Linked DNA regions of Kluyveromyces lactis. The protein of the gene in region 5 binds, or shares a complex with, the protein of the main gene of each other region. Links are inferred from orthologs where the notes say so. Each region holds a gene or a part of one and is shown on either strand. Other genes may lie near its edges.

Region 1 (3,531 bases), on a different chromosome or scaffold from region 5:
CCCAAATTTGGGATACTGCTGGCCAAGAACGTTACCGCGCAATCACCACAGCATACTACAGGGCGGCAGTTGGCGCTTTAATAGTTTATGATATCACTAAATCAAGTTCCTACGAAAATTGTAACCACTGGTTGGCTGAATTGAAACAAAATGCCGATGAAAATGTCGCTGTTGGACTCATTGGTAATAAATCTGATTTGGATCATAAACGTGCGGTTCCAACAGATGAGGCTAGGAATTATGCTCAAGAAAATCAACTTCTTTTCACGGAAACTAGTGCATTGAATGCTGACAATGTTGACGAAGCGTTCAGAGCATTGATTACTGCTATCTACCAAATGATTTCCAAAAATCAACTAGACTTGAATGACGCCTCAGGAAACAATGCCAACGCTCCAAAGGGACCTACGATCTCTTTGACACCGGCACCAAACGAAAAACACAAAAAGAGTACAAACAACTGCTGTTAGGAATTCTAAACGTGTATTATGGTCATTCCTTATAGGGTGTTTATATAGAAAGTATAAGCCCCGGAAAGAAAAAGGGAAGCAGAATTATCATCGACTGGGACATTTATCCCGATTAAGTTAGACACTTGTTTTATGTATATAACATTGACTGCCATAATTATGCAAATACTAGCTGTTTGGAAGGACATCCTGAAACTTCTTAACTGCAAAATACCTTCTCAGTTCATTGCGTCGTATCCATTGTTCTTTTAAATGAAACACTACCATAATGTCAAACATGGAGATTTAGTGAAACTACAAACTTTTATATGCGCTTGAGTAAATTTTTAATTCAAATTTCTATTTGGGTTCAGTCGGACTAGCAGGGGCAGGGGCAGGAGCAGCTGGATCCTTGAACTCTTCGTCATTTTCTTCATCGTCTTCATCATCATCATCATCCTTGCCAACCTCACCATTTTTTTCCAATTTCTCGGCAGTCTTTTTATAATCAATAATCTTACCACGAGTTCTCCTACCAGTAGTTATAATATTGGAACTATCGATTTCTGAAAGGTCGTCTTCTTCTTCATCTTCTTTTACCATCATTTGATCTAATTTTTCGTCATCGACTTCACTTTCACTATCTTCTTCCTTGTTAGCACCAGAAGTAGCAGATGCCTTGTCTTCTTGAGCAATTTTTTCATCCAAATCATCATAGTTTCTTCTTCTTCTCTTCTTTTTAGATTTCTTATCGTTGGCATCAGCGGTAGAAGCAAGCTCACTTTCAGCACTTCTTTTAGCTTGTGAAGCAACGTTGGAAGAGTCAGGCTCTTCTGCACCTATTTGAAATTCTTGCTTATCCTTAATTTCTTCAGCCATATTTGCAAACTTTGTATCTGTTGATATGATTAGTGTGCTGATGTTCGAGGAGTACGACCTAGGCTCACGCAATGCTTTTTTTGATCTAAAGATGCTTACCAGTATTTGTTTCCTTTTCGCATCTTGCGAACCAAATATAATTCATATTATCTCAAATCCCAAAGAAACATAATTTTCCACGTGATCATTTTTTTTCATAGCCGCATAGTGGATGAATTCTAACTATCATGTTGTATCGAAAATTAAAACATTAACTAGTTTCACGATCAATGAGTAACTTGCGTTGGTCCTATAAAGAATCACTGCTACGGACCGCTTTTTTGTGCATGATATAAGGATACCTCTTACAATCGAGTTTACAGTCTTTTTCACTTTCTTTGTTCACCAAGAAGAATAGTTATATCTCTAAGCATATCATACAAAAGATACAAGGACGATGTCGCAAGTTGAAGTTAAAAAGAAGGAAACGAAGCTATCAGATTTGATAGATTATAGAATACGAGTCGCTACCCATGACGGAAGGGTTTATATTGGCCAACTTATGGCTTTTGATGCATATATGAACCTTGTAATGGGAGATTGTGTAGAGGAACGCATGCCTCATAAACAAATCATAGAAGTACTTAAAAGTGGAGGAAACTTGTCAAGCAATGTGCAAGTCGAAAGAAGGACTTTTGGACTAATAATTTTACGGGGTGAGCATGTGTTGAGTACCTCGGTTGAGTCACCTCCCCAACTCTCTAAGAAGGAACGAATCGAAGTCCAGAAGAAGAATGCAAAAAAATTAGATAATGCGAAAAAGGCTCGTCAAGGGAAGACTTCTAACAAGATGAACGTTGGAACGAATGGATCTAATATAACTTCAACTAACTCAGAAAGTTCAAATAGAGTTACGAAGCCAAGTCATAAACCTATCAATACGAATTCTGGAGCTCCCAGTAGGTTTAATTCTAATAGTCAGGTACGCCCCAGCCGGTTCCAAGCCCCTCCAGGCTTCAAAAAAAGAAACTAAACCAGCGAACAACTTGTCATACTTATTGATATAAAAAAAATTGTTTTGGTGCTACGATCACCGATCTTAGCTATAATTATCCGAGACATGTTGATAGATATGTCTTTAGTTACCTCTTACGTACACGCAGAGGACTTTGGATATCCCACTGTAACGACTAGAACAAGAAGATATAGAATTTATCTAGCTTTATCCAGTGTAATGATATCCCTGTACTGCGCAACGTTAAAAGCCTGTGCGAAATATGATTATCCACCTCATTCCCTTTTCAACCACCCCACCAAATGCCTATACGAAACCTCCAGATATACCCCATGACCCCACCATAGCCCTGCGGACAAAAGAAATGTTATGTGTTAAATATGGCTTCCAACTGGACAATCATGGTGCGGAATATCTCTCAGCTGAGAACGGGCAAGAATTAGAGTTTGCAAGTTTCGCAAAAACAACAAATATATCGCATGCCACGATATCATGAGTGTGTGTTTTTTTTATAGGAATCCGGAGAAATAGTCCTACTGATTGTTCAAGCATCCCGGAAAAACCACTTCGAGATTTTCCGTGTGAGGCTTCCACTAATTTCCCCCAGAAATTACCATTGATTGTTTCGGAAAAATTATTCTCCCTGGAGTAATCTACCTGAATAAAAAAAAAATCTTTGTGCAAATTCAAGCTCCGTTGCTTTCATAGAGTCTCGTCATTAATTTCTAATTGTCCAGCTGTTCAGTCTTTGTCGTAAGATGGTGGAAATCCAACCCACTTTAACTTACCAAAGCACCGTAATCATCATCATCATCATAATACACCGTGTACTTAAATATACATACATATATATATATGGGTAGTTACCACGATTTGTCATGTCTTCCCCCCACTATCTTTCTTTCGTCTCTTTCCTGAATCGTTTAGTTCCTATTAACTTAAATGTGAAACATAATCCTTTCAAAAGCCTTATCAGGAAAGAGAAGATCCATCACAGAGTGAACTACTAGCCAGTTATACGATACAATATCCACCAATAAAGTCCAAAATAACAATAAATCACAAAACATAACAAACAAATTAACATGTCAACACCAAAAGAGTGCAACGACAGACCATATTTATGTGAAATTTGTGGGAACAGATTCCATAGGTTGGAACACAAGACAAGGCATATACGAACACACACAGGAGAAAAGCCTTTCGCAT
Region 2 (3,587 bases), on a different chromosome or scaffold from region 5:
TTCGAATTGATACCCGATTCCTTGGATACCCAAATCGAGATATGCGAAGATTCGATCGACTTTGCCACAAAGGAGAAGAGAATCTTTTTAAAGCATTCTCTATCGATTAGGTTGGCAACTCTTTACTACCAAAAGACGCATTACAACGAATCCTTGCAATTGATCAATGATTTGTTGAGGCAGTTTAAGAAATTGGACGATAAATCGTCTTTGCTCGAAGTTCATCTATTGGAATGTAAAGTGTACCATAAATTAAGAAATTTGACTAAATCAAAGGCTGCTTTGACAAGTGCTAGAACATCCGCAAATTCGATTTATTGTCCAACATTGACAATGGCAGAATTGGATTTAATGAGTGGTATCTTACACTGTGAAGACAAAGATTATAAGACTGCTTTCTCATACTTTTATGAATCCTTTGAAGCCTTCCACAGCCAAACTGGCTCAAACACATTCGGAAAAGCTTGTCAAGTGCTAAAGTATATGCTTCTTTCAAAGATCATGCTTAATTTGATTGATGAAGTGAAAACTATCTTGAACGCCAAATATACTAAGGAGACCTACCAAAGTCGCGGAATTGACGCCATGAAGGCAGTCGCTGAGGCTTATAATAATAGATCCCTACTGGAGTTCAATACAGCAATGCAAAATTATAAGACAGAATTGATGGGCGATGAACTCATTAGATCACATTTCAATGCATTATACGACACCCTTTTGGAATCAAATCTTAGTAAGATCATCGAACCATTCGAATGTGTTGAAGTATCGCATATCTCAAAGATTATCGGGCTTGATGCTCAACAAGTAGAGGGCAAACTTTCACAAATGATTTTAGACAAAGTTTTCTTTGGTGTGCTTGACCAAGGAAACGGATGGCTTTATATTTATGAGACACCACAACAGGATGCCACTTATGATTCTTCGTTAGAATTGATCAATCAACTCAATGGAGTTGTAGAACAACTCTTTGAAAAAGCCGCTGTATTATACTAAAATTAAAAATTCATTATAATACGCTCATCCTTCAATCATTAAAGTAACTTAGTAAATAAATATATTTTACGTAGGTTTAAGATCATTCGAAATTCAAATAAAGTATTCCTCCGGTACCTTGAAAGGTACGCCCAATATTTTAGCAAACTCTTTGTCACTGTCACTAAAATCATTTGGTCTTCCTGCAGCATCCCCGCAGTAAAATAAAAGTTCAATTGAGTCCGATTGTTCGTCAGAATCTTTAAGAAATTCATCAAACAAACCACGATTGGGTTTTCTCACATTATCAAACATTTCAGGTGTTACCATTGTCCCGTTTATTCTTTTCTTCTGGCCAGAAATAATGTTCTTAACAACTTTATTTGCGTGAGCAGTGCTGGCGGCTTTGCTGCCACCAAAAAGGGAAGCTGGTTTTTTAGTAGCACAGTAAATCCAAATACGATCACACAGTTGAGAATCGTTTTCCGATATGTATTTCAATACTTTGCAAATTTTATCAACGTGTTTTACGCAGCTTTTAGAGGTTCTAGGTTCACTAACAACACCGCCTTGGTTGGAGAAGAAGACGATGTGAAAATCTGGTGTTTCCTTCATTTGTGCCGAAAGTTTAGCAAGTACCTCGGTTTTTCCATATTTCATGAATATCCAATCATCTGATGTCCTACTGAATCGGCCTTTAACTGGTTTGATCACGGTGTGATCAAGGTCAAATGAGATGACCTTCCTTACAGGGGCGGGATCTTTGGGAACCCATTTTATGATATGAGGGAGAATGGTAAGCTTATGAGTAGACTGTGACATGATAGCAAACTGTTACAATTAATATGACAATGGCTGACTCCTTTGAAATACTCTTGTACTTTACTAATTTGTAGTTCCATTTATGCCTTCTTTTGAGATGAAATGACTTAAAAGATCCAATATGGAAAACATCAACTAATTTAATGTTGACATGCATAATAAGTTCCATGACCTAGGAAGAGATCAGGTACTGAGTTCTGAGAAGGAGTACTATTCACTATAAATCAATATGTCATTTGGACGAAGAACATGGAATAGAGAAGAGTATGCTGCCAAGGCAGCAACTTCTCCAGGAGGGCAATCTCATCTTTCATCATTAGACCAGGAACAACTGAAAGCTTTAAAAGATAGATACACAGACTACAATGCTTTACTCGAGTATAATCTACGCGACATCAATAAAAAGACGTTATCAGCCAATCTAAGTCAGCAGAAAAAAGGTAAACAGTTCGGGTTTTACTGTGACATATGTGACTTAACCTTCAAAGACACACTACAATTCATTAACCATTTGAATCACAAATCACATGTTGTACGGTTTGAGAACATATTCAACGAGCCATTGATAAAAGATACGAGGGATAATGATCTAGTACCACTTAATGAGGTACGATCCCAGTTTCATAAATCTGTATCAGCATTTATCGGGGACACTGAATTGAGATCCAATAAACGCAAAGCGGCAAAGAGAGTCAAATGTGAGAAATCTGATGCAGAAATCAAATATCAACCACAGTCTGAAATCGGCAGGTTAATGGGTTTCACAGAATTCGGAAGTTCCAAGAAATAACATAAATATTGACGTTTTTATTCGAAGCATATCTACATCCCACTATTCACAACGTACTTCTGCTGAATGGCAATTAGATACTGATGATATTTACAAAGTTTAATCGAGATAAAGTTGGATGGATTGTTATAGGAAGTCCCCAGATATATGCAAAAGGGTGCCGATGGGGAAAATGGCATGAGGGGTCATTTTAGATGGTCTCAACTTTATCCACGGTTTTAAAGTATTTGGAAACCTGGCCGTCTCCTTCTGAATTTGGTACAATAACTTTGTCGATAACGGAAACCTCATTTTCGAACTTGATCGCATCTTTTATATTGTCTGGGAAGTCAAGTAGATAAACAGTGTCACCCTTTTGACATTTCTCCTTCATATATTTACCTATCAAGACGACAGAGAGACCTGTTGGTAGTTTTTCCATGTACGATTTCCCCTCCTTTTCATATAAATCATTTAAAAGCACATAATATTTATCGTCAGACTTATTTCTGAAGAATTCAATAGCTTCTGAAGGTTTGATAACCTTCGCATCTTCGGGGAATTTCAGTTTCTTGGTTGCAACTCCGGTTTGCACACATCTTAAATTTAAATCATCTTGCTCAAAGATCGAAACTCTTCTTCTTAGACCACTCATCACAGTGTCAAATTCAGAGAATGTGTACGTGTTTTTAGGCTTGTTCTGTTCCAAAGAGTCGACTGCCTTAACAAAAATAGCAGTCCCAACTAAACCAACAAGTAAAATGGTTTTAAAACTTGGTGGTTCTTCAGCTTTATCCATTTTTCCAGACAGCATCCGGCGCATGACCGGAGACTTCAATAATCTTGGTGCAGCGCGTACGAACATATCGGCCTTGATCTTTGTATAGTGCAGCAGATAGCTACTGATGAGATTGGCTATAGGCCTCGTAGTGAAACAAAGAAGCAATCCTAATTAAAATGTCATAACATTCCGGATCTTCTCCAGCAAGCTATATTGAAAGATCTTAAAATGTCATTGACG
Region 3 (5,406 bases), on a different chromosome or scaffold from region 5:
CTGAGAAGATGGATTTCCTGTTAAGTATAACGTCAGGATTTTTGTTTGTTATATCATTACAAATGTTCCAAACAGCTGTTGCATTTAGTGATACCCACCATCATCATGAAGGTGAGGATAATTCCACCATCAGAGAACACCACAGTGCAGGAACAACATGCCTGAAATTCTGTTGCGTGGGTGTCCTATTGATATTGGCTAGTTCTGCTTTACAGACATTGTGAACGTTCAGTAGGTATTCGGTGTTTTTGTTACTATCTTCGCTCTCCTTTCTTTCCAATTCCCAGATTAATTATAACTCTAAGTAATTCATTCTTAATATATACAAGGAAACGGAGGATCTTACATACCTATTTTATTTTTGCATAAAGATAATTTGTATTTCTTCTTCTAGGTACCAGCCCTGCAATTCCATTAGAAAGTATTACAGTTGCATTTAATGGGTTACTCTCCCACCAATGGTGCACGGAAATTATATATGCCCCATCTATCGTAAAGGACAGTGACCATAATCATGAAAAGGAAATATACAACGCTTGAATAGTTCATACTTCTAAAAGTGACTGGAACCTTTTGCGGTAAACTGATGATAACCATAGTAAACAGTAACCATATTACGGTGAGACAGTTCGTGATGTAACCTAACCTGTATTTAATTCTGAATGCTGAACCTTTCACCAATTTTCTTCTATGGTATAACGATAATAAGATCGGTAACATTGACGCAGAGCACAAACATAGGACAGCACACCCGACAAATGCATTGAATGCGGCCGTTGATATTAAAGCTAAGAGTGCCAATACATATGAAACTCCCATAGACAACATGACGGAGTATTTAGGGACCTTAGATTCTGACGCAGGATCCACATAAGTCCAGAGGTGATGATATGGAATACCACGATCACGGCTTAAACTGTACAGTGCTCTTGAAGATGTAGTCACCGAGCCAATACCTGAAAACAATAGGTTTCCCAAGATCAATAGAACAAGGAAGATGGAAACGAATAACGATTTAGTAGATTTTGTGAAGATAAGCACGATGGGCATGACACCTTCATGATTCATTACCTCAGAGACATCAGGTAGAATGAGCATCATTGGGATCAAGAAAAATAGTCCGGAAACTAGTGAGATTATCACAGAGCGTGTCATACTGTAAGGAATATCTTTCTCTGGTTTCTCAGTTTCGTCAGATAATGCCGATAACATCGCAAACCCTTGGAAAGTGAAATTAGATTGCTGAAACCCTCCAATTAAAAATGACAAGGCCATAGAACTATACCCCGACAAACTATTATCGAATTTGGTAAAGACATCCTTGAATGATCTATGGTTTGGTTGGAATAATAGGAGAAGTGTACTTGTGAATAATATCGCATATAAGATCCAGTAAACACAGACCTTATTGATAGTTTCAATGAAACTTGAAAATTTTAGATTAATGACTCCAACCACAGTCACAATGAGATAAAACATTAGCACAGTCCATAACGTCAACCACCGGGAGTCTATCAGAGATTCATTAGTCATTGTCAGCAAAGAAATAATCAATTGTGCACCCGCAAACGTAATACTAGTGCTCATCGTCCAACTTCCAAACAACATTAGCCAACCACAGTACCAAGACATACGCAACCGAAGTCTGCCAGGCGCAAGCATGGCCGCTGCACCGTGAAGTTCTATGGGGTACTTCGAGACTATCTCACTGAGCGACAGTGAACTAATCCACGTCATTATCCCACATATCAGATACCCAAATATTATCGATGGAGATCCACCATTTAGCAATCCAATACTCATAGTAGTGCTCATACCAAGTACGGGACTCATCAACCCAAACCCTAGACCAATAACAGAAGTCCGCGAAAGTAAATTCTTGTCAAGTTGCTGTACATATGTAAACTCTTTAACCTCATCGGGAATATCCTGGTCTTCCTCGTTCAATAAAGACAACAATCGCTCGGGAATGTGTATGTTCCCGTTAAGATTAGAAAGCCAGATGTATTCAGGCATTTCAAAATGCAGTTCGGCTCTGTGTGACCCCTTGGTAAGCTCACCCTTTTTATTTCCTAGAACCCTTTCGGCATCCGTCTTGGCAAAATGTCTGTCTTTTCGAGGGCTCATCGATATTTTCAGTTCTTAGACATTATGTAAATGTTGACGAAAGTCAAAGCTTCGAGTAATGAAGATAGAATGATAAGCACATGCATTGCTCTTAGGGAAGACTACTGCGATTTGGGTGACGTGACTCAGCACTGAGTACTTTTGGAAGGAAATACAATAATGGATGAAGATTTGTACGATGAGTTCGGTAATTTCATTGGGGATCCAATGCAATTAATCGATTCTGATGATGATAGTTTGGAAGAAGTAGGAGAGCAGGAAGCTCAACATGAATTACGGCAAAAGATAGTCGAGGCTGACTCTACCGATGTGGTACTTCGAGATGTGAACCGTGATTTCGATGATGATGTTGAAGTTTTGTTGGAAGTGGAAGATAGAGAACCTGAGAAACCATTGATTGGGGACGATTCGAAATCATATAGCGAAGCTGTTAACAGGAAAGTACCTAAAGCACTATTTGACAGAGGGTACTTGAAAAGCCTTTTCTCGATACCAGAACGTCAGTTAAATGTTGGAATTTTCGGGGCGCTACATTGTGGTAAGACTTCTTTCACGGATATGTTTGCGTTAGATACTCATCGCAATCTTCCGTCCTTGACAAAAAAAGTTAAGGAGGGATGGGTACCGTTTAGGTACCTCGACCAAGCGAGGATAGAAAAGGAACGTGGTATTTCGCTTAGATTGAATGGTATGTCGTTTGCATATGAATCGTCAAGAGGACGTACGTATGCAGTGACGATGTTGGACACACCTGGACATGTAAATTTTTGGGACGATGTCGGTATTGCTTTGACTGCTTGCCAATATGGTGTAATCATCGTTGATGTGATAGAAGGAATTACTTCTGTAGTTTCCAAACTGATAAGAGAATTGATAAGTAATGGGATCCCCTTTATCATCGTTCTTAACAAAATTGATAGATTAATTTTGGATTTGAGACTTCCTCCTACAGACGCATACAGCAAACTACAATATATCGTGAACGAAATAAACACATATACCAAAGAAAGATTCTCACCGGAGCTAGGTAATGTACTCTTTGCCAGTACCAAGTTTGGATTCTTATTCTCTGTGGAGTCTTTTGTGAACTCATTTTACGCTAAATCGTTAAAGGATAAGACAGAACAATTTGCTGCTCAACTTTGGGGTCAAATTAATTACAGAGAAGGAGCATTCTACCAAACAGAATTTATTACGGACAACATTGCATTCATTCAGTTTATTTTACAACCTTTATACAAGGTTTTCACTCATACATTATCTGCATCCGAGGAAGAACTAAGAACAGTCATCGAAACCAATTTTCAAATCAGGCTTTCAGATGAGATTCTATCAAAGGATCCTCAGCCGCTACTTTTTAGCGTGTTTCATGCTATACTACCGCACTATCACTGCTTCATCGATGCTATTGTTTCAACACAGGACCACAAAATCAACAACTTATCATCCGATGAAAGCACTGTTGTACATGTATTGAGACACATGAGCCTGGAAGGTTCCAAGTGGTCCCTTTGTCGGATAATAGAGGGCTCAGTGAAAAAAGGCAACAAACTCTATATTTTCAATGAGTCCGTAGACTCTGTAGTAGATTTTGGTGATGATGAATACTCCAAGGTTACTATTGAGCGTGTAGCCTTAATGGGAGGTAGGTATGTCTACGAACTCGAGGAAGCAATAAAAGGACAGATTGTACTTTTAAAAGGTTTTGAAGATCAGTATACGAAATATGCAACTTTGTCTTCGAGCTTGATGAACCCGCTAGCACCAATTAACTATCTCAACGAATCGGTGTTCAAATTCGCCATACAGCCTCAGAAACCAAGTGAACTACCGAGACTATTGAACGGTCTTCAACAAGCAAACGAATTGTACCCTGCATTAGTGGTTAGAGTTGAAGAAAGCGGCGAAAACATCATAATTGGAACAGGAGAACTTTACCTTGATTGCGTGATGGACGAATTACGGAAAAAATTCTGTGAAATTGAGATCAAAGTAAGCCAACCGCTTGTGCAATTCACGGAAAGTTGTCAGAACGAATCGTTCGCGTCAATTCCTGTAAAGTCAAACAACGGTGTAGTATCACTCAGCGTTATGGCCGAAAAATTAGATGGAAAGATAGTACACGATTTGACGCATGGTGAAATCGACAGTTCAGAATTGAATAACATGAGAAAGTTCTCCAAACGTCTAAGAACCGAGTATGGATGGGACTCATTGGCAGCTAGAAACTGCTGGGATTTATCAAAATGTAATGTATTCATTGACGATACTCTACCTGATGAAACGGATAAGCAACTACTCAAGAAATATAAAGAAAACATTTTACAAGGGTTTGAATGGGCTGTGAAAGAAGGACCATTGGCTGATGAAACAATCCATGCATGCCAATTTAAACTCTTGCAATTCAAGGTACAAGAAGACAGCATCGAAGATATCATCCCATCTCAACTAGTGCCAATGACGAGAAAGGCATGTTACATTGCGCTAATGTCTGCTACTCCAATTATCATGGAACCCATCTATGAAGTCGATATTATCGTATCGGGGGTATTGGAGTCTGTGATTCAGAATTTATTGAAGAGACGCAGAGGTGGAAGAATTTACAAGACAGAAAAGATAGTGGCATCACCATTCATAGAAATAAAGGCTCAATTACCTGTCATCGAGTCGATTGGATTTGAGACAGATCTTCGTGTTGCGACCGCCGGTAGCGGAATGTGTCAAATGCACTTTTGGAATAAAATATGGAGAAAAGTGCCAGGTGACGTACTTGACGAAGAAGCCTTCATACCGAAGTTGAAACCAGCGCCTGCTGCAAGCCTAAGCAGGGACTTTGTGATGAAGACAAGACGTCGCAAGGGTTTATCTGAAAGTGGTCACATGACTCAAGACGGGCCATCATTAAAGAAATACATTGATCAAGATCTATTCAAGAAGTTGCAACAAAAACGATTTGTATAGGCTCCGCATAGAATTCGGTCACTGACGCATTAGTAGCTGCAAGTAACATATAGTATACTCAAACACACCCAGATAAATATATATATATATAAACCGTTAACTCTTGAATCTATATGTTAGAATGGTTATAAGTCTCGAGGCGTTTCTTTTTCTCAAAGCATCAAGGCTAAAAATTTTCCAATATAAAGAGATGAGATGAGATGAGATGGATGAGATGAGGCGCTGTAACTTGACGGGTGAGGGTTAGATCTTGTTCAATCTAAGGCATATAGGTACGCAAAACGGCAACAATGGTTAAAGGATTCAAGTTGAAGGAGC
Region 4 (3,216 bases), on a different chromosome or scaffold from region 5:
CAGGTACTCTACAGCCGTACGAAGCAACGATTAGCAGGGCTCGCACTACAGTTGCAAAGAGTAACGAAAGCAATAAATTGATGAACGAGATGAATGAGGCCTCGTTGTCAATTGTACAAAGTCTATGCGACCATAATGATCCTTTCTCATTAGTTTGACACTCATGAAATAAAATTTCCATAGATTCTGTCATGTCAAGTTTCAAGAACTCGTTGAAATAAGAGATAATGGCAGTAACAAACGTTAGTATGACAACTTCCTGTAACGGCCATCTTGAGAGATATTTCTTTCTAAAAGAAACGTAATGCACATTCCATCTGCTTATGTATTTGCCATATAAACCACCAAAAATTCCAAGAAGGATGAATATTGGGATTTCTTCCACATGCCATTCTCTATCATAGGTGACTTCAAAAACAACGATCTTACCATTTCTAGATGGATCAATATATTGTAGAGCAGAAATACCTGCCAGAGCAATATAATACGACTTCCACAAGGCAGATAACTTGAAAGGAATAGAAGCTGACATCTCTTCAAGTGCAAATAAGACACCTCCAATAGGTGCACCAAAAGCTACTGCAACACCACCTGCCGTCGAAGCTGTCAAGTATTCGGATTGTTCTGGGAAGGCCATCTCCTTGCTCAAGAGCCAATTAGTAATTACATAACCACAACAGGTAGCATAGTGAACAGATGGTCCCTCTTTACCAACACTTAAATCAGAAGAAATGGCAAGCGGTAAAGCGACAGATTTTACTATAAGGGTCTTCAAATTCAAAAACTCCGGGGTATATTGGAAACCTGATACCCAGGATTTAATTTCTGAAATACCAGATCCAGTGGCAAACGGTGCAATGTGTAGGACCATCAGACAACTAATAGTTGCAAATGTGACCGATAAGAACATGAATAGCAAAAATGAAAAGATTGGATTGGTTGCTTCTACCCAAATACCTTTTTCGATACATTCGCTTTGGGATCTTTTAAAGAATATTTCTGCGGCATTGCCAGCCGAACTTATTATGGAACCATAACTCCTTTTACTGATCTCTTCTTTAGGACAGCAGAATGCCTTGTTTAACAACCAATTTCTAGCACAATGTCCAGATTTCCAGTTTACTAACAATTCAGTGAATATTTGTAAAAAACCAGCAATACCGCCAATGGAAAGCCCAATGGCAGTCAAAGTAATGAAACTGCTACCTCTTTTCCATATTAACCTGCGGTACTCATACCAACTCGAACGCGGTATATCAAATTCGTCATGCGATGTTCCCTTGGACAATTCACGCTTCTCTTCCTCAATCCAATCCACAGAAGTGAACTTATCGAAATTACCGACTTCTGGTATATTTCGCAGAGCCTGCTCCTCATTTACCTCTTGGTCAGTCATAGCTAGCTATTGCTCATCAATTGGGTCATACCTAAGTCAAGGGCAATACTATGAGTTTATTCATAAATGAGTTGATAAATTTACATATTGTAATACGTACATTTTTCAATACAAAGAAATATGCACCTTTGAAATTAGGTAAAGAACTGAGAGTGAAAGCAGCTCTTCCTGGGGAAGTATGAAGCATACGATGGGGAACAACAACTACAGACTGCGTGTTTTAGACCATAATAGAGTACTATAGCAATGGCGGAGAATGGCCAAATGATCACAATAGGAGGAATGTATATCGTTCTTCTGAATTAATATAGTGAAACAGCCGTACATTACACCAGTTTGTGATCCCATTTGTTTCTTTTTGCTCATCAGTCGAGGAATTCGAAAATTTTCAAAAATTGAAAAACTAAAGAAAATGATTTCAAGAGACTAACCTCATCTCATCTCGTTCCATCTCATCTCACTTTATGATAAAACTTTTTTTAGACTTGGACTTGATCCGATCTTATTTCTAGTCTTAAAACACCAGATTCAAGCGAGCTTTTCATTCTTGCAAGGAACTTGAACTGACCCAATCGGATACTTCACTTCATATTATAAAGAAATAATGTCTGCTCCAAACCCAAAGGCTTTCCCATTGGCTGATGCCACCTTGTCCCAACAAATCTTGGATGTTGTTCAACAAGCTTCCAACATGAGACAATTGAAGAAGGGTGCTAACGAAGCTACCAAGACTTTGAACCGTGGTATTTCCGAATTCATTATCATGGCTGCTGACTGTGAACCTATTGAAATCTTGTTGCACTTGCCATTGTTGTGTGAAGATAAGAACGTTCCATACGTCTTTGTTCCATCCAGAACTGCTTTGGGTAGAGCTTGTGGTGTTTCCAGACCAGTTATTGCTGCTTCTATTACCACTAACGATGCTTCTGCTATCAAAAGCCAAATCTATGCCGTTAAGGACAAGATTGAAACTTTGTTGATTTAAGAAGGATTTGCACATTTCGTGATTTCCTTTTCTTATTCTTTATATCAATCGTTTAAGGAGTTAACCGCTTTGTGGGGGGTTTGCATAGCAAAGAAAAGATTTACTGCACGTTCATTGATTCAAGTGATCGACAGGTAGATTTTTTTTTTACGACCTCTGTATATTAAACATATATATTACAATTAATACAACTTTTTGATACATTTGCATCCTTCTTAACAATGACATCAACATCTGATGGTTCTAGTTAGTGGTCAGTACATAGTTTTTTTTTGTCTGTTCAAATTAAGAAATGGTTACAGGCCTGTGTATTCCAGATGATATTGTCAGTTGGTAAAAAAAAGTAATAAATTTGACACAATCTTTTGTGCTTTCGACTATCCAACCCTAAATTTACAAGTTTGTTGAAATGAACTTAGAGGAAGAAGTCTGACTGTCCATCAGTAGCTGCTCGAATATGTTCAAGTTTAACCCATTACACATTGTTGGTAGGGAAAAGATAAAAATCCGCTATCAAAGTTCGGATAGGTTGGATTGTGAAGACCCGCCAAAATTTAGGGAAACTCGATGTAGATGTTGCGGAACCTTGTTACGACATCCTATAGACGCAGTTAAGTTCAAATGTACAATATGTGAGGTGACTGTTGTTTTGAGACAAACAGCAAATTCTAGGGATACTGAGGGCAAGATACTGCCGGACCTTGAACAGTTATCCAATATAGTTGGTCAATGTCTCGAATCGTATAAGAAAGATCAGACAGGAGATGAGACCCCCGCTAAAGAGCTTAACAGCTACTTCATTCCTGTGGAAAAATACATTGTTCAAAAATTCGGT
Region 5 (5,202 bases):
CGACATCTATTGGTATGCCAGTGTCATCGACTCATTCTATCGTTGGTGGTACCATCGGTGCCGGTATTGCTGCCGGTGGTGCCAAGGGTGTCCAATGGGGTTGGGGTGGTGTTTCTCAAATTATTGCTTCTTGGTTTATTGCTCCAATCTTAGCCGGTTGCTTGGTCACTATTATTTTCTTGATCTCCAAGTTCCTGGTCTTGGATGTTAAGCCAATTGAAAAAGCTATTAAGAACGCTTTACTACTCGTCGGATTTTTGGTGTTCGCTACCTTCTCGGTGTTGACTATGTTGATCGTTTGGAAGGGTTCTCCAAACTTGAAGTTGGATAAATTGTCTGGCACAACTACCGCATTGGCTATTGTTCTTACTGGTCTAGTCGCTTGTGCTGTTTACTTCATCTTCTTGTACCCATACTACAGAAGAAGAATCTTGCACAGAGACTGGACCCTAAAATGGTATGATATTTACAGAGGCCCAACTTTCTACTTCAAGTCCACTGACGACATTCCACCTCTACCTGCTGGACAATCTTTAACCATTGATTACTACGAAGGTAGAAGATTCGAAGATGAAACTGCCGGAGATGATGAAACCCAAATTGAAACTTCCCACACCGCCGATGGAAGAGATACTGTAGAGGGACATATTGAAATTAACGACAAGGAATCTGTCAACCAAAGTATCAAATTGGTGCAAACAGAAACTTTGCAAGAAGAAAAACCAACTACCAAACAGCTATGGTGGTCATTGCTAAAACAAGGACCAAAGAAGTGGCCTCTATTACTTTGGTTGATTGCTTCTCACGGTTGGACTCAAGATGTTATTCATTCTCAGGTCTACGATACAGGTGCTTTGTCAACAGATTTCAAGGACATGTACAAGAGATCTGCCTTCTATGACAACAGAATCGAATTCATCTATTCTATCTTGCAAGCTATTACCGCCGCCACTATGTCTTTTGCTCACGGTGCCAATGATGTTGCCAACGCCACTGCACCACTAGCTGCCGTGTATGACATCTGGCAGAAAAACACTGTGGAATCTAAGTCTGACGTTCACACATGGGTTTTAGCATACTGTGCCGCTGCATTGGTCCTCGGTTGTTGGACATACGGTTACAGAATCATCAAGAACTTGGGTAACAAGATGATTTTGCAATCTCCATCCAGAGGGTTCTCCGTTGAACTTGGTGCTGCTGTTACCACTGTTATGGCAACACAATTAAGTATTCCTGTTTCTACTACTCAAGTTGCTGTCGGTGGTATTGTGGCCGTTGGTCTTTGTAACAGGGATTTGAAATCCGTTAACTGGAGAATGGTCGCTTTCTGTTACAGTGGTTGGTTCTTAACTCTTCCAATGGCTGGTCTCATTGCAGGTATCTTGAACGGTATCATCTTGAACGCACCACGTTACGGTGGAGATTACCAATTATCATAATCATCAGATTGATATTTTCTTTCTCATGGCCTCAGCGCCTTTTAGGAACTTTCATTAATTAATTGTTTGTGCACTAGCTAGATAATAGTTTATCTGCTACAAATATAGAACATATTCGGTATTATAGATTCTGCAAATTTCCTCATATATTAGCCTGCATATTTAATTCTTTCTAAGCAGAATCGATATTTATTTCTATCAACGCTTATTCTCTATTGTTTTAAGAATCTGTAGAATATCTTTAAAAACAAAACCTTTAAAATTTGTATCGAAAGGACATCTCATACAGTAAACTATTCACTAGTAAATCATCTGAGTAAACAACTATCACGGTGATAGGCATGGAGACTCCCAGTTTCCTAAAACAATCTCCACCACCTGGTTACATCGCTGGTATAGGTCGTGGAGCGGTTGGCTTTTCCACCAGAGGAAGTAAAGATGATAAAAGAGTTCCTGCTAGATTGAATAGATATGGGCGAGATGCACCAGATACTTCTGTAACAAAGAATCCAAATAGATACAGATCAGCAGTTTCGAATGAATCATCGGAGAAACAGGTTAAAGATGAAGACGAACAAGAGATGAGAGTGTACGAAAAGATCGAACAGCGACTTAAGAATAAAAAAATTATCGACAATGAAACAAGCCTAAAGACGAAGCCAGATGATGAACCAGACAAGCTATCTTCTAAATTTGTAGATTTGAAGCGTAATTTAGCAACTCTTTCTGAGCAAGACTGGCTGGATATCCCTGACGCATCTGATATGACCAGACGAAACAAAAGGAATCGAATAGAGGAACAACTTGAAAGGAAAACATTCGCTGCTCCTGACACTTTGTTCCAGGTTAATGTCAACTTATCCAAGTTAACTGAAGAGAGGGAAAAGTTACTTGCTGTCCAGATAGATAAGAGTTTTGATTACAGCAAAAGTCAACTTACGGATGATGCTGAATACTTGAATAGAATGAACCAAGATGACAACACTATTTCATCTACGGATTTGGAAGACATTAGGAAAAACAGATCCCTATTAGCCGCGTATCGTAAATCCCATCCAAGAAATCCAGAAAACTGGATTTCTTCAGCAAGAATCGAAGAAAGAGCCAATCAGTTCAATCGAGCCAAAAGTTTGCTAGCGGAAGGTTGTAAACTGTGCCCTAAAAGTGAAGCTATCTGGTTAGAATCGATACGCATGAACGCATCCGATAAAGAATATTGCAAGAGGTTGGTTACAGTTGCCTTAAGGCTCAACGAGTTTAGTGAGCAGTTGTGGTTGAAGGCAATCGCCCTCGAACAACACAATACTGATAAAATTAAAGTCACTCGAAAGGCTCTAATTAAACTACCACTAAGCTCTATATTATGGGAAGTGGCGGTAAATCTTGAAACTTCCACTCTTGAAAAGCTGAAAATTTTGAAGAAAGCAGTTGAATTAGTGCCGAAGGATTCGCAGTTATGGTTGAAGTTGATAAGGTTACAATCAGTCGAATCTGCAGTGGACACCTTGAAATCTGCTGAAGAACATATTAAAAAAGACATCACATACTGGCTTCTCAAATGTCAACTCGAAGAAAAAAGAACGACCGCAAATCTCGATACGTTGGTAAATATCATTTCTAGCGCAATAAAGGATCTTCATGAACTGGAAGTTAATCCAACTATTACTGAGTGGTTCGAAAATGCAGTCGCTATATCAACAGAAGGATTGTATCCATTAACAGCGAAAGCAATCATCACAGCTACCATCAATAACTTATTTGAAGACGCATCCTCAAATTTCCAAAGTCTCTCGAAGCTGTTGGTAAACGACACCACACTTCAGTGTACCTTGTTTTCCTCCTTCCTAATCAAATATCCAACAAAGTACTCTATTTGGAAGGAGTTCACCAATTTCGCCGAAGACTTTTCGCGGAAATTAGAGCTACACGAAACATTCAGGAAGATCCTCTTTACAGATTCTCAAGCGGTAAAGAAATACCCTGTCTTGGTTTTAATGTATGCGAAAGACGTTTGGGATTGGGGTTCTGGTTCCACTGAAGCGTTGTCGATTTTAGATAAAGCTCTGGTGACAAATTCGGCGTATCCTGAGTTTTGGTTGGCTAAACTCAAAATTTTGAACAGAGATGGCAAATTGGATGAGATTATAAATTCCTTTGAAGAAGCCGAATCACACTTGGTAGAATGCATTGATAAATTAGTTCCTTTTTACGTTAAGTGTTTGCAATCTAAAGGCAGTTTGGAAATAGCTCATTCTACTGTTGATATAGCTTTGGCACGTGAACCAAACGACAAACATTTACTAATCTTGAAAGCACAGCTATACAGGCAACAAAGGGACCTTTCATCAGCGAAGCGTGTGCTACAGAGGGCTACGGATATTTCTAATCATGATCCAGAAGTGTGCTTGGAGTTCTCCAGACTGGTAATGGAAACACAAGATTGGGGCAAAGCGCGTTCAATACTCAGCGTTTCTCTACTAAAGAATCCAAAATCCGATACACTCTACGAGGCTCTCATTACATTGGAACTGCAAGTGAAAGATAACAAACAAGTAACGTACCTCATCGCTCAGGGTCTCAAAGCGTGTCCACACAGCTGGAGGCTCTGGTGTCTAAACATCAGAACCCTTCCTAAAAAATCACTACGTAAAACCACATTCCAAGATGCTCTCGAAGCTACAAAAGAGCATCCAATGGTGATAACTGAGATCGGAAAAGTGTTCCAAAAGGAACACCAATACGCGAAGGCATATAAATGGTTCATAAGAGCCTCGGAAAATAATCTTCAATTTGGGGACCCATGGGTATGGCTCTACATCTGCGAGTCGTGCATGAATCCAGTTGATTTGCAAATAAATGAAGAAAAAACGTTAAAGAAATTGAAAGAAAATGAACCCAGGTACGGTATACTATGGGAGCCCGCAGTAAACTCATACCTACACATATCAAACTCTCCGATTGATATTTTGCACAGCATTATCAACAATTTACACCAATAATTAGATAGAATGTAAGATTGTAAGATTGTAATAATAAAAATTGGGACAACACTGATGCGACTGTAAATTGACTTTCCGCATTGTCAGAAGTTCCGTTCCTCAATCGTAACTAACCCAGTATATGCGGCAGTTCTGTGTATTTTTCCGTTGTGATCTGATTCTCTGCTATGAAAGAGTCAGCTCTTATATCTATCAAAGAGAACTTTTTCCAGTGGAATTTGAAAATTTGAAAACGAACAACCAAAATGGAACTTCGAAATTGCGAAGAGTATTGGTAGTCGACAGGGATCGGAGGTGAAGTGAAAAACATCGATAGCAGCTGTTGAGAGTCTTAAATACCCGCCGAGGTCCACGTCATTTTTACCAGGGAAGTTATATATATATACTGATAGGTCAGAAAAAGTATGTCGTTCGGCAAGGGACGCAATGAGAGTTTGGATTGTCTCACTCCAGCATCGTATGTGTCTCAAGGTGCGGCACCTGAGGCACCAGCACCGACCCAAAGTGTCAGGGCAAGCCAGCCGCCACTATTCCCAGCTAGTAGCAGACATATTCTGTCTCCTTCGACGTTACTAGCGCATCCAAGTCCGCATTCAGTGCCCAGTACTGCTACTCTGCTTGGACTTTCCTCTGAACACGTAATCACTAGTCCTCAGTCGGTTCAGTTGAAAAATACACCTACTTCTATCGGACCAAGTCCAAGAGATGTGCTAGTTACCAATCTATCGCCGATCTCTGATATTTTACAAGGTGATCGTTCATCT
Region 6 (4,488 bases), on a different chromosome or scaffold from region 5:
ACCCTGTCCAACTTGTGTAATCATTTCGAAATCCTTATGTTTCGGTTTCAAACGTCTTTTCCTTAGAATATTCGTCTCTTTCGTCAGATAACCCTGCCATTCGTTGGTAATTTGCTCAGTACCCATCAGGTTCGACCTTCTTTGCTCTTCCAAATAGTTGATCACTTGTCTGGTACGTTCTCTTCTGCTAATCACATAGTCGAACATATCACAATAATAATCCAAGAAATACATCTGACACACGGAAACCAATCTCTTGGATTTAGTCTTTGAGGACTTCTTATAGAAATCTTTGGGTAGTTTCTTTGGCGACTTGGTAATGTCTGCCGTCAAATCTCCCTGAGTATCATCGTCGATATCCATGAGCGAGTTTTCAGGGTTTTTTACTATCGATCTAGTAGGAGACGGAGAACCACGTATTCTCGTTGGAGTGCTTGGGGGATCTAGCATAACTTTAGCATCCGTATCAAAACTGAAATTGACCATATCGTCGACCAATGCGTCGACCTCCTTGTGACGACCATTCGCATCTCTTGTAAACATTTCTTATTTTAAACTGTGTGATTGAAGTATGTAAATAAAACCGTTAGTGCTTCAGGTCAGACACGTTACTTCTGACTTGACACAATGAATTATCGGCAGATCTGATCGAATAAGAGACCCTAAAGTTCAATGGTTAAGTTGTGTTCTTTGTTTAAAGTTTTCAATTCGAACATTGGATCATCTTTTTGTGTTTTGGTTTTGCCATAATAGGAATCGTAATTACAGATCTATGAATAGACATATACAGGGTATAAAAGGTACACGGCAGAACTATGGTGTCTCACAACCGTGGTTGTTTGCTGGTGGCGGGGTCCGTAGCTTGTGGGTGCTCTGCACTACGTTTGAGCTTTTCGGACCTCTCATCCTGTAGGAAACTGTGCGTGTTTTTAGTCTCTTGATCTAATCTTAAACGCATAGATTTACGCATTTTGGTCTTATTGAAAGAGGACAATGCGGAAACGTTCTTTGAATCGGCCATCCCGAACCCTATTTCTTCTCCGTATGGGTCCATGGTGGTCTGTTCCTCTTTACCGAACTCCATTCTGTTTTGCATTTGCCTTAGATGCGACATCTTGAACTGTTCTTTGTACTTACGGAACCTTCTACCAGCTCTTTTCTTCTTTGGAGCGTCTTCTGGGATCGGCAACGGCTTGATGTTACTGATATTCGGCGGATCTATTATCTTCTTGAGTTTTTCAACGATTTCATGCCTCCATTTCAAGCCCAGCTTCGAGGCATCTGAGTTCCCATCTGAATTCCCATCTGGGTTAATGACTTGATTCCCCATGGTGCAATCCGCTCTCGCAGCAAGAGCAACCTTGGCAGAGACCATTCTAAGCGCCTGTTTCTGGAACTCAGGAGGCTGTGTTTGTACCACGTCTGTATAGAATAGATATCCCTTTTGTCGTACCCCAGAGATATCTAACGATTTGCCATGCAACGTTTTGTCCTGGCCAATGGATGCCAAATTACAACTGGGAACCACACTTAGTTCTTTAACACTACCACAATGTGTTACCAGTTTAGCTGCAGTATCAGGTCCCAATAAAGCACATAAGTTTGGAGCTACCATTTGTATTCTTGTCTCAACATAGTGTGAGACGTTGTCCCGTAAGTTGTACAGAATATCGAACCAATGGATGGCCTTGGAGAGGAGATCCTTATCAATTCGAGCACCCTCTTTGAAATCTGTCTTTAGAGACATAGATACCACAAGGGTTTCCTCCTTCGATAGCACTTGGTCTAATTGCACGTTGGGAATATCCTGTTGCAGCATCTTGACCACGTCGACGTATTGTTTCCTTTCAGGGACAATAGTTTCCAACCCAGGGAACTTGGCCTTGTAGGTATCTACAATGCATTGAAACACCATGGAAAGCTCTGTATCGAATAAAGGCATCAATTGGCCCAGTTTTATGACATTGTAAGGCTCTGTCGTATGGTTTGTTGCATCTCGTATTATAGTTTCGTGCTTGGCAAGTTGGATGAGGTCATCTAAATCCGCGCCTTGGTGCCAGAATTGCGCGTGAAAGTCAGATATTAGGTTGCTAACACTAGGAGAGGGTAAAATATCCGATTCTGTGGCTATACCACTGGTTATACCACTGGTTACACCACTTAACCCATCATCCAAGCTTTCCTCATCGCTGACACTTCCATAATCTTCGTCATCTAAAAGGTCCATTATCACCTTGTGAAAGAGTAAGACAGGGGAATATGGTTATCCAGTTACAATCCAACTGTAAAATACCACATACTGAACTAACTGAGGATGGTCAAAAGAGCAGTAATCGACTAGTACCTGCTCTCGAGTAGCTATCTCATCGCATTTCTACCAATCTTTAATCATATATAATCACTCTATACGATGTGATCTTTTCTTTTCCAAAAATTTTTCAGTTCTTTAAAGCGATGAGATGAGCTTGAGATGAGGTATCTACACCGATGAGACGGACCTTGACCAGTGTCATAGGGCTTTTCTGAGGTCGTTTGAGAGCTCAAGAGGTAGCATAAACGTAGCAATACAATTGAAAAAGGATGTCCAATATCGTTGGTGTTGAATATAACCGTGTGACGAACACAAGTTCAACAGATTTCCCTGGATTTAGTTCGGATCAAGACAATTCATGGGACTTGGAGAAGTTCAAGGAAACTTTTGACGTACAAATCGAGAGTTTGGATGAGCGTGAAGTGAATTTCGATTTGGTTCATGTCGACACATCGATTGCTAACGCTTTCCGTCGTATTATGATCTCAGAAGTACCATCTGTCGCTCCAGAATACGTCTACTTTTTTAACAATACGTCTGTGCTACAGGACGAAGTGTTGGCGCATAGAATCGGGTTAGTGCCATTGAAGGTGGATCCAGATATGTTGAGTTGGGTGGACACGTCATTGCCCGAATCTGAAAGGTTTACAGATGAAAATACGATAGTGATGTCGTTGAACGTGAAATGTACCAGGAACCCAGATGCTCCAAAGGATTGTGAAGACCCCAAGGTTCTTTATAGAAACGCGCATATCTATGCTAGGGACCTTAAGTTTGAGCCTCAGGGGAAACAGGTGGAACAATTTGCCAAGTGTCCCGTGGTGGCAGCGGATCCAGATATCTTGTTGGCCAAGTTGAGACCAGGTCAAGAGATTTCGTTAAGGGCACATTGTATTCTAGGTATCGGTGCAGACCATGCCAAGTTCTCTCCGGTGTCGACAGCTAGTTATAGACTATTACCACACATCCAGATCACACAGCCTATCACCGGTGATGATGCCAAGAAATTTGTGAAATGTTTCCCTAAAGGTGTCGCAGATGTCAACGAGAAGGGTGAAGCTTATATCAAGGATCCAAGGAAGGATACCGTGTCCAGAGAGGTGTTGAGACACGATGAGTTCCAGGGGAAGGTTAAGTTGGGTAGGGTGAGAGACCACTTCATCTTTAACGTGGAGAGTTCTGGTGCTATGACACCGGAAGAAATCTTCTTCAAATCGGTCAGGATCTTGAAGAACAAGGCGGAATACTTGAAGAACTGTCCAATCTCACAATAAGAAGCCAATTCGCATGTTCTCTATTTAATATCATCCACTCCCTTCCATACACAGACAAACCGTGCATCATAATTCCATTTCTTTCATTCCCTGTATCATACGCATTAAGCCACTCAGTGAACAGATTAGGCACTTATATATATTCATATATAAAGAAGCCACTACATCTAAACTAGTTTAATGTACATTTGTTTTTAGATTCAACTGTGTTACACCATCGCATCTACATTTGTCGGTTCAAACGTCTCCTGATCCTGCGCCATTGGCCGTGCTTTGGTTATAAGATTTTCGATCATGGCTTTTGGATCCACTTCGAGTATCAAGACGTTACCATTATATCCGTCACTCAGATCACTCTGGGCTTTCTGTGTATAGGTTTCGTCCGCGACTTCGTGATCTTTGAATGGTGAGATGGATAGTACAGTTACGAGGAATAGCCCTACTTGAAAGAATAGAATTAGCAGTTGGTAGAAAAGGTACGATGCGTTACCCTTAAAATTACTCGAGGGCACTCGTTCTCCAATATACTGGGTGAACCCAGTGCCTTCTCAATTCCCCCTCTATTATGCCTGTTCCATGGTTAAACGGCGATGGGTAGTTTTCTAGATGTGATATCCCAGGCATTTTGAAGTGCTCCAAATTCTTCTCGAAGTCTATTGGCCATATGATTCCTGCGAAAATGACAAAGAAGTTGAGCAGTAATGTGGTGTGTATTAAGACCAATTCAATTCTCTTGAAAGCCTTCCTGAGTGCAACGTTCGGATCAGTTCCGTCGGTCGCTTGGGCCCTGTAGTAGTTCATGAATGCCAGGAGTCGAGTATCGGTTGGGTATGGTGCATTTAAAAGTGATTGAAGCGCAAGCCGTATCACAAATAGTACGATGTTACCTGCAAATTTGATTTG
Region 7 (3,397 bases), on a different chromosome or scaffold from region 5:
ACATTAAGAAAGCGTACTACAAGCTGGCCAAGAAGTATCATCCGGATATAAATAAGGAAGAAGACTCTCAGAAGAAGTTCCATGATTTGCAAAACGCGTATGAAATATTAAGCGATGAAGATAAGAGGAAACAGTATGATCAATTCGGTGCTGCTGCATTCAGCCAAGCTGGTGGTGCCGGTGGACCAGGCGGTGCCTATGGCGGTGCTGGTGCTGGTGGTGCACAAGGATTCGGAGGCTTTGGAGGGTTCGATTTCGGTGGATTGAACTTTGAAGATCTTTTCGGAAGTGCGTTTGGTGGTGGTGGTGGTGGTGGTGCCGGAGGCAGGAGAGCTGGTTCGCATGGAGCAGGATTTGGCGGTTCCGATTTTGTCCGTGAATATAAAGGTGAGAATGTCACTGTACCATTCCAAGTATCCTTCAAAGATGCCGTCTTCGGTGTGAAGAATGTCAAATTGAATTACCAATGCTACGATCCGTGTTCGTCATGTGATGGAAGTGGGTTGAAAGCTGGACATTCGAGAAGTGTTTGTCCTACATGTCATGGTACAGGTACTCAGGTACATGTAAGAGCAGGTTTCCAAATGGCCTCTACTTGTCAAACATGTGATGGTGAGGGTTCAACTATTAAGGACAGCGATAAATGTGGTACCTGTCATAGCCACGGTTTCAAATTGAATTCAAATAAAACTATCACCGTAGACTTACCTCACGGACTTCAGGACGGTGACACAATTAGAGTACCTAACCAAGGTAGTTACCCCGGTATGGCTATCGATCCGTCCATGAAATCTGAATTGCATTTAACCAGAGGCGATTTGTTGATTCGTGTCAGAGTCAGGAAAGACACAAGATTCCAAGTTTCAAATAATTACGACATCATTTACACTCAGGAAATCCCAATTACAACGGCAGCACTAGGTGGCGTCATTGAAGTACCCACCGTAGAGGAAGAAAAGATCAGATTGAAGGTCAGCTCTGGTACTCAACACGATCAAGTCATCAGAATTCCAAATAAGGGTGTCCCTCGTGGAGCTAGAGGTGACAGGGGTGACATGCTTGTCAAGTTCAAGATTGTTATCAAAAAACCAAAGGATGAAACAGAACGTTATCTATGGGAGACCTTGGCCCACTTGACCAATGATACCACTGCAAGAAGGACCATTACTCCCTCTGGATCGTCGGCTAAGGACAACTCTTCCTCTGCTGATAAAGACACAGTTGAAAACAATGAAGGAACCATCAAGAAATTGGAAAATTTCTTGTCTAACACTTTAAAGAAGATCAGAGGGGAATGAAATCCTTAAATCGCATATATGCTCTCCCGTCATACATTCCACCTTCATTCTTTCATAATTCTTTGATTGGATGAACTAATTACGACATTGGCATTCTCATTATTCATGTACCACTTACAGCAGTCATAGCCAGTAATTGCATATACTGCACATTATTTTATAAAACCCTTTAACATCATGTAAATACCAATTTCCCTATATATATATATAATTGCACTTAGCGCATAATACTTATCGTTTTGATATTCTCTTACTAGTTATCCCTACTTACCATATTTAGCTCGGGATTGAAATTCATGCCAATGACAACGAATGTTTTCAGTAAGGGTCGATATGCTTTAGTAACTTATTCTGACCATCGTTGTCTTCTTAACATTGTGACATTGAAAATTACTTTTGAATGGAAAAAGCATAATTATGTACAAAATTCATCAATTGAAATATACTGAAGATAAATTTCGAAGGACTTTTGCCAAGAGTTAAGAGACTATATCTACGACTTATCACTTCCGTACGACCCATTATAAACCATCCAATATTCCATGACATCTCCAGATTTGAGAAAAGTATGTTTACCCCTGTTTTCCAGGAAAAATCTTATCAGAATTTAAATTACTAACTATAATATGATTCGTTGCAAACAGTACATGGACAAGAAACTCATTCTACAGCTTAACGGCAATAGGAAAATTATTGGAATATTACGAGGATATGATGCATTTTTGAACTTAGTACTGGATAATCCAATACAGATTTTCGAAGAAGGAGAGGTCCAAATGGGACCCCAGACTGTTGTTAGAGGTAACTCCATTGTATCGATAGAACCTCTTGACAGTTTGTAAGAGCAGAAGGGAGACAAATACAACTCAATGTGTCGGAACACTTTACTTAGTGACATTTACGTACAATGAATTATGCTAGTAGAAAGGAAGGATAGATATGATAGAGCGCACACTGGTTACAACATCATTTGTCGAATCTGATTTGCATTTCGACACCAGCTTTTTTCAATCCACATTTCTCATAGAATCCAACATTACTTTCATCACAATCAAGAATAACTTTATAGCATCCATACTCGTTAGCTAATTTGTATAAATACTGAATTAATATCAATCCCAATTTCTTCCCCTGTTGATCTTTTCTCACTGCAATGTCTTCAATATGACCAACAAGCCCACATTCGTGAATAACTTTTTTCTCGACTAGCACGTTTCCTGTGGCGACAACTTCCCCATTTGTGTCAACGATCACAGTGCTATTGTACATAGGTATATCTCCTATCGTGACTGAATCCCAATGGTCTATTAGTGAATGGAATTGATCTTGGCTCACATCACCAACCATCGTTAGCACTTTCAGCACAGATGTAACCCCAGAAAAATCATCTTTCTTGGTTCTTCTAATTGTGTATCCTTCTGGTAATGACATGGTAAGAATTCCAATTAACGGCAGGATGATGGTAGAAATGAATGGTAATATCAATTGTTGATGTAACAAAGAGACTATAAAGGTTCTTTTATCATGGTTCATATTTAATCATTGTGCCTATACAAAGAATAATGCTGGAATTAGAACATAAGGAACGTAGACCATCGTTAGCGCCAGTTTGTCCGGGTTACTCAATGACACGTGATCGGTATTCATCGTGGCTGGATAGTACCCATAGGCCCAAACGTACCATATACAAAAACTAGTGGTGGTGATGACATTGAATGCATAGCATTTAGATAGACGGTCCACTGTGAATAAAGTTCTTTTGATAGTTTTTGACTTTGACAAGTTTAGCAGCTGGTATAAGCAATATATGGCCACAGGCAGTTGGAATAAAATTTCAATGATTGTCATATATTTGAGCCAGTTTGGAGGATTGGCAGTTAGAAAATCATTGAAATTATCAATATAACCATCTAGAAGTCCCTTAGTATATTGAAGATATGGAGGAAGTACTGCATTCGAATCCAAAAACGTAATGATTGGAATGTTAACTGCATACCAGATCTTCCATAGATTGATCTTCCATAGTTGAGTCTTTCTCGAATCACGTTGCTCTTTACTCATATTAGACCTTAGTTACCCTTTATATACCTTGGTCTCTT

The links.
Region 1: PRP6 (region 5) and SMB1 share a complex: the UniProt entries of both Saccharomyces cerevisiae proteins name them as parts of the U4/U6-U5 tri-snRNP complex. The link is inferred for Kluyveromyces lactis from reciprocal best matches to the Saccharomyces cerevisiae genes PRP6 and SMB1.
Region 2: PRP6 (region 5) and SNU23 share a complex: the UniProt entries of both Saccharomyces cerevisiae proteins name them as parts of the U4/U6-U5 tri-snRNP complex. The link is inferred for Kluyveromyces lactis from reciprocal best matches to the Saccharomyces cerevisiae genes PRP6 and SNU23.
Region 3: PRP6 (region 5) and SNU114 share a complex: the UniProt entries of both Saccharomyces cerevisiae proteins name them as parts of the U4/U6-U5 tri-snRNP complex. The link is inferred for Kluyveromyces lactis from reciprocal best matches to the Saccharomyces cerevisiae genes PRP6 and SNU114.
Region 4: PRP6 (region 5) and SNU13 share a complex: the UniProt entries of both Saccharomyces cerevisiae proteins name them as parts of the U4/U6-U5 tri-snRNP complex. The link is inferred for Kluyveromyces lactis from reciprocal best matches to the Saccharomyces cerevisiae genes PRP6 and SNU13.
Region 6: PRP6 (region 5) and PRP31 share a complex: the UniProt entries of both Saccharomyces cerevisiae proteins name them as parts of the U4/U6-U5 tri-snRNP complex. The link is inferred for Kluyveromyces lactis from reciprocal best matches to the Saccharomyces cerevisiae genes PRP6 and PRP31.
Region 7: PRP6 (region 5) and SMX2 share a complex: the UniProt entries of both Saccharomyces cerevisiae proteins name them as parts of the U4/U6-U5 tri-snRNP complex. The link is inferred for Kluyveromyces lactis from reciprocal best matches to the Saccharomyces cerevisiae genes PRP6 and SMX2.

Annotation. Positions count from the first base shown.
Region 1 is NC_006038.1:47,332-50,862, reverse strand, and holds SMB1 (mRNA splicing protein SMB1), read left to right. Parts: upstream 1-1,764; coding exon 1,765-2,340; downstream 2,341-3,531. Other genes in the region: Rab family GTPase YPT31, read left to right, coding at 1-470; CHZ1 (Chz1p), read right to left, coding at 810-1,328. UniProt on the Saccharomyces cerevisiae protein: Plays a role in pre-mRNA splicing as a core component of the spliceosomal U1, U2, U4 and U5 small nuclear ribonucleoproteins (snRNPs), the building blocks of the spliceosome.
Region 2 is NC_006041.1:138,479-142,065, forward strand, and holds SNU23 (U4/U6-U5 snRNP complex subunit SNU23), read left to right. Parts: upstream 1-2,026; coding exon 2,027-2,587; downstream 2,588-3,587. Other genes in the region: proteasome regulatory particle lid subunit RPN6, read left to right, coding at 1-996; TPP1 (polynucleotide 3'-phosphatase), read right to left, coding at 1,090-1,797; AIM36 (Aim36p), read right to left, coding at 2,778-3,431. UniProt on the Saccharomyces cerevisiae protein: Participates in pre-mRNA splicing. Part of the U4/U5/U6 tri-snRNP complex, one of the building blocks of the spliceosome.
Region 3 is NC_006037.1:602,725-608,130, forward strand, and holds SNU114 (U5 snRNP GTPase SNU114), read left to right. Parts: upstream 1-2,286; coding exon 2,287-5,088; downstream 5,089-5,406. Other genes in the region: Zn(2+) transporter ZRT3, read left to right, coding at 1-224; TPO5 (Tpo5p), read right to left, coding at 445-2,127; EBP2 (Ebp2p), read left to right, coding at 5,379-5,406. UniProt on the Saccharomyces cerevisiae protein: Component of the U5 snRNP complex required for pre-mRNA splicing. Binds GTP.
Region 4 is NC_006041.1:2,008,162-2,011,377, forward strand, and holds SNU13 (RNA binding protein SNU13), read left to right. Parts: upstream 1-2,000; coding exon 2,001-2,381; downstream 2,382-3,216. Other genes in the region: GEF1 (Gef1p), read right to left, coding at 1-1,396; putative E3 ubiquitin-protein ligase HUL4, read left to right, coding at 2,839-3,216. UniProt on the Saccharomyces cerevisiae protein: Common component of the spliceosome and rRNA processing machinery. In association with the spliceosomal U4/U6.U5 tri-snRNP particle, required for splicing of pre-mRNA.
Region 5 is NC_006042.1:395,831-401,032, forward strand, and holds PRP6 (U4/U6-U5 snRNP complex subunit PRP6), read left to right. Parts: upstream 1-1,780; coding exon 1,781-4,438; downstream 4,439-5,202. Other genes in the region: PHO89 (Pho89p), read left to right, coding at 1-1,439; LYS14 (Lys14p), read left to right, coding at 4,843-5,202. UniProt on the Saccharomyces cerevisiae protein: Participates in pre-mRNA splicing. Part of the U4/U5/U6 tri-snRNP complex, one of the building blocks of the spliceosome.
Region 6 is NC_006040.1:1,252,120-1,256,607, reverse strand, and holds PRP31 (U4/U6-U5 snRNP complex subunit PRP31), read right to left. Parts: upstream 2,228-4,488; coding exon 824-2,227; downstream 1-823. Other genes in the region: KLLA0_D14905g (serine/threonine-protein kinase), read right to left, coding at 1-543; DNA-directed RNA polymerase core subunit RPC40, read left to right, coding at 2,581-3,585; GLD1 (Gld1p), read right to left, coding at 4,084-4,488. UniProt on the Saccharomyces cerevisiae protein: Promotes the association of the U4/U6.U5 tri-snRNP particle with pre-spliceosomes to form the mature spliceosomal complex.
Region 7 is NC_006040.1:658,297-661,693, forward strand, and holds SMX2 (mRNA splicing protein SMX2), read left to right. Parts: upstream 1-1,840; coding exon 1,841-1,864; intron 1,865-1,942; coding exon 1,943-2,140; downstream 2,141-3,397. Other genes in the region: MDJ1 (Mdj1p), read left to right, coding at 1-1,298; GNA1 (glucosamine 6-phosphate N-acetyltransferase), read right to left, coding at 2,265-2,831; EMA19 (Ema19p), read right to left, coding at 2,847-3,359. UniProt on the Saccharomyces cerevisiae protein: Plays a role in pre-mRNA splicing as a core component of the spliceosomal U1, U2, U4 and U5 small nuclear ribonucleoproteins (snRNPs), the building blocks of the spliceosome.